Linked DNA regions of Drosophila melanogaster. The protein of the gene in region 2 interacts with the protein of the main gene of each other region in a pairwise test. Each region holds a gene or a part of one and is shown on either strand. Other genes may lie near its edges.

The links.
Region 1: the proteins of Glut1 (region 2) and Sirt4 interact in a two-hybrid assay, tested with the Drosophila melanogaster proteins (one large-scale study listed by BioGRID).
Region 3: the proteins of Glut1 (region 2) and term interact in a two-hybrid assay, tested with the Drosophila melanogaster proteins (one large-scale study listed by BioGRID).

Annotation. Positions count from the first base shown.
Region 1 is NC_004354.4:5,664,109-5,667,503, reverse strand, and holds Sirt4 (sirtuin 4), read left to right. Parts: upstream 1-1,563; 5' UTR 1,564-1,635; coding exon 1,636-1,816; intron 1,817-1,876; exon of another isoform or gene 1,877-2,017; coding exon 2,018-2,775; 3' UTR 2,776-2,876; downstream 2,877-3,395. Other genes in the region: CG4119 (uncharacterized protein), read right to left, coding at 1-294, 706-947, 1,036-1,098. UniProt on the Drosophila melanogaster protein: NAD-dependent protein deacylase. Catalyzes the NAD-dependent hydrolysis of acyl groups from lysine residues.
Region 2 is NT_037436.4:912,295-917,121, forward strand, and holds the start of Glut1 (glucose transporter 1), read left to right. Parts: upstream 1-1,779; 5' UTR 1,780-1,924; exon of another isoform or gene 1,925-2,315; intron 2,316-3,344; 5' UTR 3,345-3,515; intron 3,516-4,827. UniProt on the Drosophila melanogaster protein: Facilitative glucose transporter.
Region 3 is NT_037436.4:18,591,784-18,595,355, forward strand, and holds term (terminus), read right to left. Parts: upstream 1,989-3,572; 5' UTR 1,829-1,988; coding exon 542-1,828; 3' UTR 520-541; downstream 1-519.

The sequences.
Region 1 (3,395 bases), on a different chromosome or scaffold from region 2:
CGGCGTGTCTTCTTATTGCGATTGGCGCTGCCGTACAAATCGGCGCGACTGCTGCTATCGAATCCTTCGAACTCGTGCTTGTGCTCTTCCAGGAATTCGTGCATCTGGGCAATGGCGAACTCGTCCTCGGTCTTTTCGTCCACTGGGTTGGAACGATCGCCGTTCTTGCACTCCTGCTCCTTGTAATCCTCGATGAGAACCTTGTTCTTGGCATCTACCTTGGCTACCAGCTTCTTGCCATCGATTTCCATCTCGCTGAGCAGGCGAACGGCTCGCATTGCCGCAATAGGTCCGCTGAAAGAATGCCAAGGAAAGCGGTTAGGCAGAGTATTTATAGGAACAATTGGAGAGCCAAATGGGTGGACTGCCCGTTGGCTCTAAACATAAATGTATGCAAGCTCAACCCTGTGTTGTATTGCTTAAAGTTAGGTTACTTAAAAGTGCTCGAGTAGTTATTCGATCGCGCATATAGAATTTGAAGAGCTGTCGCAGTAGGGAGCATTCCTAGAAGTATTTCAATCTTTTTATAAATAAGCTAAGCTATTCTAGGAAACGCATCAAACAACGAGTGAGATGCGTTATGCTGCTGTTTATGCAATGGCTCTTCAATTACTTTTCTAGCGTTATTTAACTAACGAAACCTTCTTGTGCTGCCCTAAGCCTTCTAAAGTGATTTTGGGATGACCGATTTATGGTTGAACGTACTCAAATTCGCAGAAGCCGAATGTGGACACCCGTTTCCAATTGATTACCACGCCGCAAGCGTTCAGGATGCGTTTGAGCAGTGCCTCCGGGACGCGTTCGCTGATGTTGCCCACGAAGACGGTAATGATGGGTCCGCGGAACTGTGGTTGCGGCTCCGGCGGACGTTGGTATACTGTCGGCTGTGAACTAATGGTGGCCGAGTTACGGAAGCTCCTCGGCGGCTTGGCCATGTTCTGCATTATCTGAAAGCGGATGGAGTAGGTGGAAAAGGATTTGGCGTCAGATTCTGACAGCTTCATGGTGATTGTGACCCAGAAAAGGTGGACTTACGTGCGGCGGCGGTATGGCTGTATTCATGAAGGGCGGCATGGGCGCCCGCGGCGGGTACGACATCTTGTGCGCTGCGACTCCTTTGCGATGTCCTTTGAAAACACAACTTTAGCGAGCTTGCAAAATTAAAGCCGACAATTCACAAACACACTCACGCACGCACAGACGAGCGACACACACACACACAGGCACGCACGGATGGGCGCAAACGCCACACGGAGTGATAAATATGTGTGTGAATGTCCTGTTTCGTGCTTACGAAGCTGGACGCCCGCAAGGTTCACTGATCGAATCTCGGAAAGGTTGGCCTGTAACTTCTGGGTTCACGGCGCGTGATAAATCCACGCGTAAATTACCGAATAGAATATCTTTTTTCTGCAGCCGTTGCTCTAGAGATGGTAGCTGCTGGCAAGCTGCTATCGGCTGATGGCGTGTAAAAATCGATGGGGGTCGTACAGTTATCGATTGCCATTGCGGGGCATACAATCGATTTACAGCGGTAAGCGACTGAAGGAGTTGCCATCGATGTGCGTGCGCTCACCTCTAGTAACGTAACCGAAAAAGAACCAAATATTACTTGCAATAATACATAACAAAACAATGCGTGTGGGCCAGCTGCTCCGCTTCCGGAGCACCAGCTTGCGCAGCTCCACCGCCAGGCAGGAGTACGTGCCGCATCACAAGCCCGTCGTGGAGGACGACATCAAACGGCTGGAGGACTTTCTCCTGTCCAAACCGAATGTTTTGGTTCTCACGGGCGCTGGCATCTCGACGGAATCGGGTGAGTTTCATGATTTTCCGACTTTTCTATGTTCAGAAGCCATTAACACAAATATTTCAGATTGACTTCCAAAAGCTTGTACATTATTCATTTATTTATATAATGCTAATGCAAGTGACTTCTAGCTTATACTTGGATTCGCATTAGTATTTTATTTAAATCAACATTTCTGGCTGTCTAAAAACTTGAAATAAATTCCAGGGATTCCCGATTACCGTTCCGAAGGCGTGGGCCTCTACGCCCGCTCCAACCACAAGCCCGTCCAGCACATGGAGTTCGTCAAGTCGTCGGCGGTGCGCAAGCGGTACTGGGCCAGGAACTTTGTGGGCTGGCCCAAGTTTTCTGCCACACAGCCCAATGCCACGCATCACGCGCTGGCCAGATTCGAGCGGGAGGAGCGGGTCCAGGCGGTGGTCACCCAGAACGTGGACCGGCTGCACACGAAGGCGGGCAGCCGAAATGTTGTGGAGGTTCATGGCAGTGGCTATGTGGTCAAGTGCCTGTCATGCGAGTACCGGATCGATCGTCACGAGTTCCAGAGCATACTGGCGTCGCTAAATCCGGCCTTCAAAGATGCCCCCGACATGATCCGGCCCGATGGCGATGTAGAGATACCGCTGGAGTACATCGAGAACTTCCGGATACCCGAGTGTACGCAGTGCGGCGGCGACTTGAAGCCGGAAATTGTCTTCTTCGGAGATTCTGTGCCTCGGCCACGAGTGGATCAGATTGCCGGCATGGTGTACAATAGCGATGGCCTGCTTGTCCTCGGGTCCAGTCTCCTGGTCTTCTCCGGCTACCGCGTTGTCCTGCAGACCAAGGACCTCAAGCTACCGGTGGGCATTGTTAATATTGGCGAAACGCGCGCCGATCACCTGGCGGATATCAAGATATCCGCCAAGTGCGGCGATGTCATACCCAAACTGTTCGACTTTCGCAATTCGAAAAGCGTCAGTTAATACTCACAGTTGTTATATGTTGACCCCCACTAAATTTGTAGTTATGGAAAGCCAGGCTTTCTATTTTAGCTAAAAAATAAATGTTAATGATTACTATTTGCAAATGGAATGTAGCGTTGCAACGGAGCTCCTGATTTATGGCTGTGCCTTTGGATCATTTTCGCGCAGGCTCCTCTGGAGCGAAACACAATGACACGCTTTCCGGGAAAAGGATTCGCTCATCCCCCAAGCACATGGGTTCCGAGTCCATGTCCTCTCTGTCTCTCTCAGTGTCCTGTGCTCTGAAATTCCAGCACATCCCAACAGGAAGCGGAAGCAGGAGCGCCGGGGAGAGCTGCGCACTTCCGCTCGCTCCCGTTGAATGTTTTTGTTTTTGCTCCAGGCCGCTGCTCTCAGTGCTCCATATAAATGAACCGCAATTGAGGCATCGGCATCTCCCGCTCGCACACACAAACACACATCGCACACACACATACACGGCCAGTGACACTTTTCACACGCGGTTCATTACCCCCCCTCCTACGACAATCGTCCATTCCTGCTAGAAAAACAATGCGTAGACCTCGCACAATGGGCAAAATCGAAGGACTGCTAAGAATAATAATAATAATAATATAATT
Region 2 (4,827 bases):
GCTCTTGAATAAAAACGCAAAACTGAAAATGAAAACTTCTTGTTGGGTTCTCTTTGGGTTGTCAGGGAAAACAAACCCCCAAATGATTGCTTTATAATTGCGGCGAGGTGGTCATATATCATCTATACGGGGGTTGTAAGACTGGTAACCAATAATGATGAGTGCTCTTGGGTGATTCCTTATAATCATGCCCAAATAACGGCGAACTGCAGTAATGAAATGCCATTAAGGGCCATTGACATGGTCCATCGATCTGGGACCGACTAAAACAAATACCAAAACACACTAACTGCCAAGGCGGAAAAGCGGAAGTGGACCATTGAATCGGACAGATGCATTTGGGCACTGGGCTAAGGACGAGGAAACTTGATGACGATGGGGTGGAATCCCAGGGTGTTTTCAACTCAGTCTCTGGTCGGTCCATAGTGAAACTCTAAACGGGCCAAACTAATGATGCTCTCAACGGAAACGCGTAAAAAATGTTTAATCAAATACAAATGCATGACAGCACGGAAAAAAGGCGAACAGGATATGCCAGGATATGCTAGGATAGTACGGGATGCGAGGGTGCAGCTGAATAAAACTAAAGGATGCGGGGGTGGCAGTTGCGTGCGCGGTGTGAATCAATTTAAAGCGTCAAAAGATGTGGATGTCCTTCCCCTCGCACAGCGAAAATTGTGTAAAATCATGCCGCAAAAACAACCCCGTCGATGTTTTCAAGGGGGCGATGCAGCAGCCGTAAGTCACCAACATCTGTGTCTGAAGGCCTGAAGCAAACAAAAAACATAAAATACTAATAAAATGATCTCGAAACCGATACGTTTTGCAGTTTGCACCTTGGCACGGGACATTCCTGTACTGTGGTACCCGCATTAGATGGTTCGATGTCCAACAAGTTTCCATTTCTGCGGGTCAAAGGCAGCTGCTCGAAGGATCTTACTTCCTTTCAGGTCCTCGGGACTCTTATCCTGCTGCTCTGCTAATTTGCACCTTGAGAGGCATGTTGGCTTGGAAATCCGTTCGAGACTACCTTATGCAGGTCCTTTGTTCGCCCAAGTGGCCATGTGTTCTAATGGCACTCCTCCAAGGAGTTGACAGATTGATGAGCGCGATTGGCAGATTTGAAGTGCCGACCACTCGAGTAATCCATTTGATTACCATCATCATTGGCAGGCCACTTAGAATTGCCCGCCCAAGGGGTTTTTCAATATGCAAATTGTTATTATGTATGTTGCTGCTACAGTTGCTGGAGATCCTGCACATGATATGAAAGGATATCTTTGTACTAACATGCTGGGTAATTATTCGCGATCTTTGTAATCCATTTGATCATGGCACTTAAAATCCTAAAAAAATTAATTCACAATGCAGCAAAAATCCCTTTGAAGCAATGCTACATAGTTAGCCCACGGATTTTCAATTCGAATAACTTATCTGTAATATCTTCCGGAACTTCTCCTTTTACATAAATACAAATAATACGTTGAAAGGCTCTTATACGTTTTAAACATATGAAGCTGCTTATAAGGCCCGAAAGCTTCCAAAGCTCCAACTGATTGCGAAAGCGCTCCCGTGCAACACTGCCAAGTCGCAGGTCCTGGCAGCCATCGAAATGCAACGCGGCGTTAAGTTGGCAGCTTCGACTGTCTAAGGAAATAACGGTTATCGGGAAATTTTCTCCGGCAGAGAGACGCCTACACAGAGGAGTACGTGGAGTGCCGAGTTCGAGTCTCAGCCGGAATCGCACACCTGACATTCATGTTGTGGCCATTCTGGCAGTCAGACGTGTGGATCGCAAGTCCGGAAAGCCAAGAGCCGTAGCCCCAAGTGCAAAGTGGAGGAAAGGTCTCAAGCAGATTCGCTGTCCGTGAACGGTTTACGGTTGCGGTTTACTACGACGTGTCGCGTCTCAGATTTTCATCCGGTAAATAGTGACTTGAAATAGTTACTTGCGAGTCGAGATGAGGTGTTAGTTTCTTTGAAAATTGGAAAAGCACAGAGAAAACTGTTCGTTCAAAGTCGCAGCATGTGCTAGGGGGTGGTGACTTGGTGGGTGGTTCCGGATGGGGATGTCCTGTGAAAGAGAGCAGCTCGACTTATTGATTGAGCTTTCCGCGCTCGCTCTCTGTGCCAAAATACGGGTACTTTTGCTTGGGGAGCGCGGAAAAGCTTTTGTCCGTTTTCCCGCTGCCACTGCTGCTTGCCTTGGGTGAATTTTTCAGCAATTTTCATTTTCAGTTTTTCTCCCGACTGTTTTAGGGCGGTTCCGCAAGTAGCAGCGAATCCTGCGATTTAAGCACACTCAACTCGAACGCGTATGAAAATTCCGTTTACCCCAAGGAAATTAAAACACAGGCTTAGCCAAAATTAAATGAATTTAACAAACATTTGCCGCAAAGAACTGGGAAAATAATGTGGAAAATGTGGAAAGTCGAAAGGCACGCAGGATAATATATGAAAATATTATGACAAAATGTGTTGTTATTGTTTGAGTGTGTGGCCTGCTTTTAAACGCGTGCGTGTGCTTGTGTGTCTGCGTGGCTCCTTTGTGTTTGTAAAATTCAATAAATTGCAAAGGATTGCAATTGCCAAAATGGCAAATTACAACAAAATGCGCACATACACATGGAAATTTGTCAGAACAGAAATTTGGGCAGTGTGTGCGCGTAGTTTTGATTTTCTCTGCGGGCTCTGTGGCTTACTCTCCGTCTGTATATGTGTGTGTGTGTGTGGCTCTCAGAGTGCTGTGTGTGTGTGCGTGTGTATGTGTGTGGTTGTATCTGTGTGAATGTCCTTCGCTGCTTACGTACGCAGACTGAGTGACTCGATTGAGGCGGCTGCCTGAATGGCTGGCAGGTCCTGTGCTCCTTTTTCCTTTGTGAAATGAATGCGTATTCAATGAGCAATGAAATCCGTGACACATTCGCGCCTTCGCTCTCTATCTCTCTCTTCCCCGTTTTCCCCCATTTTCCGCAGCACTCTCCGTGCATTTTCCATTTAATTTATTTTTTATTGCTCCGGCCCGCCTTTGTTCTTCGCCCAATATCCGTTTTAAATAAAAGCGACATTAACACCATAACCTTCTGACATTTATCTGTCTCTCGGTCTTAAATGCTCACCCAGACATGGTCGCAAATGCCGCAGAGCAGAGAGAAGCTTGCCACATGTGCGTCCTTTTGTCCCTTGAGCTGCCTTGAACATTCCTTTGGCCCATTCGCTTGCGAATTCCCGCATAAGTTAACCAATTAATTGGCTGGAAAAGTGTTAGAAAATACTACACTTTTCTCTTGACTGAGTCGCAATAATATTAATAAATTCCTCAACAATATCTATGCCAACTGCAGTTCGATCTAAACCAAACTAAACTAAGCTCAACTAATCCAAAACTAAACCAAGCCAAAGACCAAACAAAATAGAGAAAAACTTGTTGAAGTACTTGATTGATGTGTGTGCCCAATTGGCTGCCGAATTGAGCGAGCTAAACCGAGAAGGAGTCTCCGCTGCCTGGAAAAAAGGTGAGTCAACCGACTGTCTGTTTATATTAAGATTGGGGAAAGCGGCGGGGAAAACTAGCTGCCATTTTCTGCTCTGAATCCAGTAACAAAATGGTTAGTTGCTCAACCGTCAAGAAGAAACTACTCACTGATTTCTTATAATTTTGATTTAGGTTTAAGATTTTTTAACCCTTTGCTTGTGCCATAAAGGATTTTTTTATATTATCCAATCGGTTCGATTTCTTTCTTAGCTATTTCCCAAGTCTACTTAACGATAGCTCAAGGCTGATTAAAATCGCTAAAATTACATTGTCATCCAGTTTATTTGCGTTTTTGAAGGCTTCTAATCACTTATTCAAAGTGTAAAGCAGCTGGATCAGAAGTTCTCCAAGTAAAATCACACATAGAGAAATAAATATAGACCTCATTTCAGCATCCCCCTGAAAGCCAAACACAAGAATTAATTACTCACTTTCCAGGACCATCACTCTGAGCCGAAAATCAACCCGAATTTGGGTCTCCGTTCGGTTTTCAATCAGCAATCAGCGAGAATAAAAAGTTGTGAAAAGTTCCCATCCCCTTCCCCGGTCGAAATGTCCATTTGCGGATTAGGCAGCCTGGCCAGCAACTGTATCCTTTATAAACAGCCGCTGGTCCTGCGAAAAGGGTTTTCCGAAGCATGTAGCATAATTTGAAGTGCACACACTTCCGACGGCCGAAAATATTGTTTGGTGTTTCACAAAAAAGTCTATTAATAAAAATAAGCAAAAATCACTGGGCGTCCGAAATTGACCCGCAGTAAGAAAAGCCAGCGAGCAATTTTCTTAGCCAGCCAGCAAACTTCAGCGAATCAACTTGGCCAAGAACATTTTTTTTTTTTGCCTGCCCCAGTGCGTTTACTTAAGCAATCAACTCAACCTCAAACACACACTCACTTCGTCCTGTTTATACGTATTTTTTTTCGTTATATTATAACAACTAAAGGAGGCCGCAAAGTTTGTGTGCACACAGAAAAATGCTGTGGCAAAATCGGGGAAAACCCTTTGCCATCGAAACGAATTTGGAGCAGAAATCGCAGTGCATTTGGGGGTATCTCCCTGACATCTTCGCAAGTGTGTGTGTGTGTGTGTCTGTGTGCGTTGCTGTTTGTTTGTGTGCGGCAGACAAATAAAACATTTGCGCGGAGGCAAAGTTTGTTTAGGTTTTCAATTCGTTCTTTGGGTTTGGAAAATGGAATCAGCATCGGAAACTGAATCTGGATCCAGCGAAACATTTACACGCGTGCATAACAAAGAACGTGCAAATTCTCACGTCAACACACACACATAAAGCA
Region 3 (3,572 bases), about 18 Mb from region 2:
AGTGGAAGAACTCAGAGAAGAAAGGCGTCAAGTTTGGTGAAATCGACGGCAGGGAATATTAAATTATTGATTTAATATAAGGGTGGTAAATCAGACGTAGCATACATATTAAAACTGTTGGCTATCTGCCCTGAGAAAGCCAAAATCCTGCGCTCATTAATAAATCAGCCTGTTGCATTCGCACACATATAGTTGGGGCTACAAATATAGGTACAAGCATGTTAGTTACAAATGTTAGTATTTTATTTAATCTGGTTAACAACAGTGGTTAATATTTTTGCAGTCGGTCCCGTACTCGGTCACGTACTCCTGTCGCGGAGATGTCTGGATGTCTGCCAACGACAGTGGCGAGAGGTGCTCACAATTAATAATAAATATTGTCTTAAACGTTTGGCTTTGCAATAAAACGTATAAAATTCCTAAAAATTTTCACCTATTATTAAAAGTTATTAGCTATTATTGCAACCGCCACTACCCTTACATTGATTTACCCCCTGGTTAAAAGAAAGAATTAAGTTTCAGCTTAAAAGTTATCGTTTATTTAATAAAATTTACAAGGACTATTGTGCTGGGCGTTGCTGATGACGACACACGGGCCGTGCTGCACCTTCACGGAGCTCTCGCTGCGCCAGTCGCACTCGATGGGCACAAACTGACCCTTCCGCATCATGGTCTTGGGCTTGGTGATGCCGTAGCAGGCGTGCTGGAAGACGCTTCTCGAGATGGGCAGGCACTGCTCGTAGATCTCCACGATGTCCGCGTGCATGCTGTCCACGGAGAAGTCCTGGCCACAGCGCAGCTTCTGGTGGATGTGCAGTTTGCTGCGTCGCGAGAACTGGGTGCGACACCTCCGGCAGTGGAGGTCCTTTAGCGGCGAGCTGGTCTGATCCCTTTCGATGGAATTGACGGGGGTGGAGAGCTCGTGGAGCCGCTGGAATTGGCCCATGATATTGTTCAGGATGAGGAAGTTCTTGTTGGGCAGCTGCTGGAGGGTTTCGCTGATATGATAGGGCACCACATACAGCTCCTTGGTGGTCTTGCACTGCTGCAGTCCGTAGAGATTGACGCGCATGTTGGGCGGGAAGTAGCCGTTGCACTCGCGGAAGTGCTTCAGGTAGGCGGAGCGCAGACTGGCAAGCTCTGCCTCGCTGGTGGAGCAGCCGGTAGTGGCGGTCAGGCCCTCCTCCTCCTGAAGCTGCAGGGGTAGGGCGAAGACGGACGAGTCCGCTGACTGACCGTCCGCCTCCACCCTAATCCTCTTCACCTGTACTTTCAATCTGGTGATGCTGCACTCTGCCATGCCGTACTCGCTGCTGCAGTTGAGGTAGTTTTCAATCCTCTGCATAAGCATCTCGTAGACCACGCCCACGGATTCGTCTACGTCGTAGTGGTGGTCCGCCCTCAGCGAGCCGCTCTGAAAGATCAACACCTGGTCCATGGCGTTCACGTAGCAGGCCAGATTGAACTCCACGGCCACGGTGTTGTTCTGGAACATCCAGCGGAGAAGCTCGGGGATTCCCCTCGCACAGGTCTCGCCCATGAAGTGTTCCAGCTTGTCCTTGGAACTCTCGTCGCAGAAGAAGAAAGTCTCGATCTGGCGGGCCTCGATAATATCCATAACGGCCTGCTGTTGCTTGGTAAGATGCAAGCCCTGTGATGCTTCTCCTCCCCGCAGCCAATGCTGGGAGGGCGGCTCATCTGCGTCGATGGAGCTGTAGCAGGTGGCACATTCGTGTAACTGGCCCTGGGAAAACCACTGGTGGTGGAATGTCTGCGTGGTCTCCTCGTTGGTAAAAACGAAGCTGGAGATTATGGGCTCGTCGAACATGATTGAGATATGGAAACTTTGGATTCGAAAACTAAAGGTGGATATAGCTTTGTTGGACGATTTACCAATTTCAGGCACAAATAGATGATTACTCTTTCAGTTTGCTCCGGAAGCACTGAGATGTATCTATGGCAAGATTCAGTTGCTGAGTGATATCCTTATCTTCGTCCACCTGGCTTATATACAAACTAGTACTACAGGGTAACAGGTAGACTGTGAAGGTACATATATCCTTTGGTGTTACAAATCTACTTGTGGATTTTCCTTTTACCTAATCCGTCATATATTTTATGAGCATTCAAGTTGTGCTAATAATTGAGTACAACAGCAGCTGCGCGGTCATAAAGTTTTATTAGGTATAGGTGTATACGGTATAATCTGTTTTAAAAATGATAGAGCGGCTGGTATTAGATAAACGACGCCTACGAAGGGATTGGCAGTCTAATAGATCACCAATTACAAAGCACATGCTTAAGATACCCACACGCAGGCTTACCAATGCTCTCAAACAAGAGGAAAAAAACAGCCAACGTTCATATATCGAGCAACTCTCTCCCACCAGCACTAAGTACCCTCTTTGGAGAGCTCACAGAAACCTAAAGACTCCAATAGCGCCAATTATGCCACTACGAAGTCCCTCTGGCACCTGGTTTCGAAGTGATGAAGAAAGAGCCTGTGCTTTCGCTGACCATTTACAAAATGTATTCCGACCAAATCCCTCTACCAACACATTTATTCTCCCTCCTTTAATAGCAGCCAATCTAGATCCTCAAGAACCCTTTGAATTCCGACCATGTGAACTAGCAAAGGTTATCAAAGAGCAACTGAACCCAAGAAAATCGCCTGGCTACGACCTAATAACTCCAAGAATGCTCATTGAACTCCCAAAGTGTGCTATTCTTCACATCTGCCTGTTGTTCAACGCAATCGATAAGCTTGGATACTTCCCTCAAAAATGGAAAAAGTCGACCATAGTAATGATTCCAAAGCCAGGAAAAGATAAAACGCAGCCATCATCATATAGACCGATAAGCTTACTAACATGTCTTTCAAAGCTGTTTGAAAAAATGCTACTCCTTCGGATTAGCCCTCATCTTAGAATAAACAACACACTTCCAACACATCAATTTGGCTTTAGAGAAAAACATGGAACCATCGAACAGGTCAACCGAATCACGTCAGAAATTCGTACTGCTTTTGAACATCGAGAATACTGCACAGCCATTTTTCTAGACGTCGCGCAGGCATTTGACAGAGTGTGGCTCGATGGACTTTTGTTTAAAATAATCAAGCTGTTGCCCCAAAACACACATAAGCTACTGAAGTCATACCTATATAACAGAGTGTTTGCAATAAGATGCGATACAAGCACTTCACGCGATTGCGCAATCGAAGCTGGAGTGCCGCAAGGCAGTGTACTGGATCCAATCTTATACACCCTGTATACGGCGGATTTCCCCATAGACTACAATCTAACAACCTCCACGTTCGCTGATGATACCGCGATACTCAGTCGCTCCAAATGCCCAATAAAAGCCACGGCACTCCTATCCCGACACTTATCATCTGTAGAACGATGGCTTGCCGACTGGAGAATTTCAATAAATGTTCAAAAATGCAAGCAGGTTACCTTTACCTTAAACAAACAAACATGCCCACCACTGGTCTTGAATAACATATGCATTCCACAAGCCGACGAGGTAACATATCTGGGTGTTCATCTGGACAGGCGGCTCACTTGGCG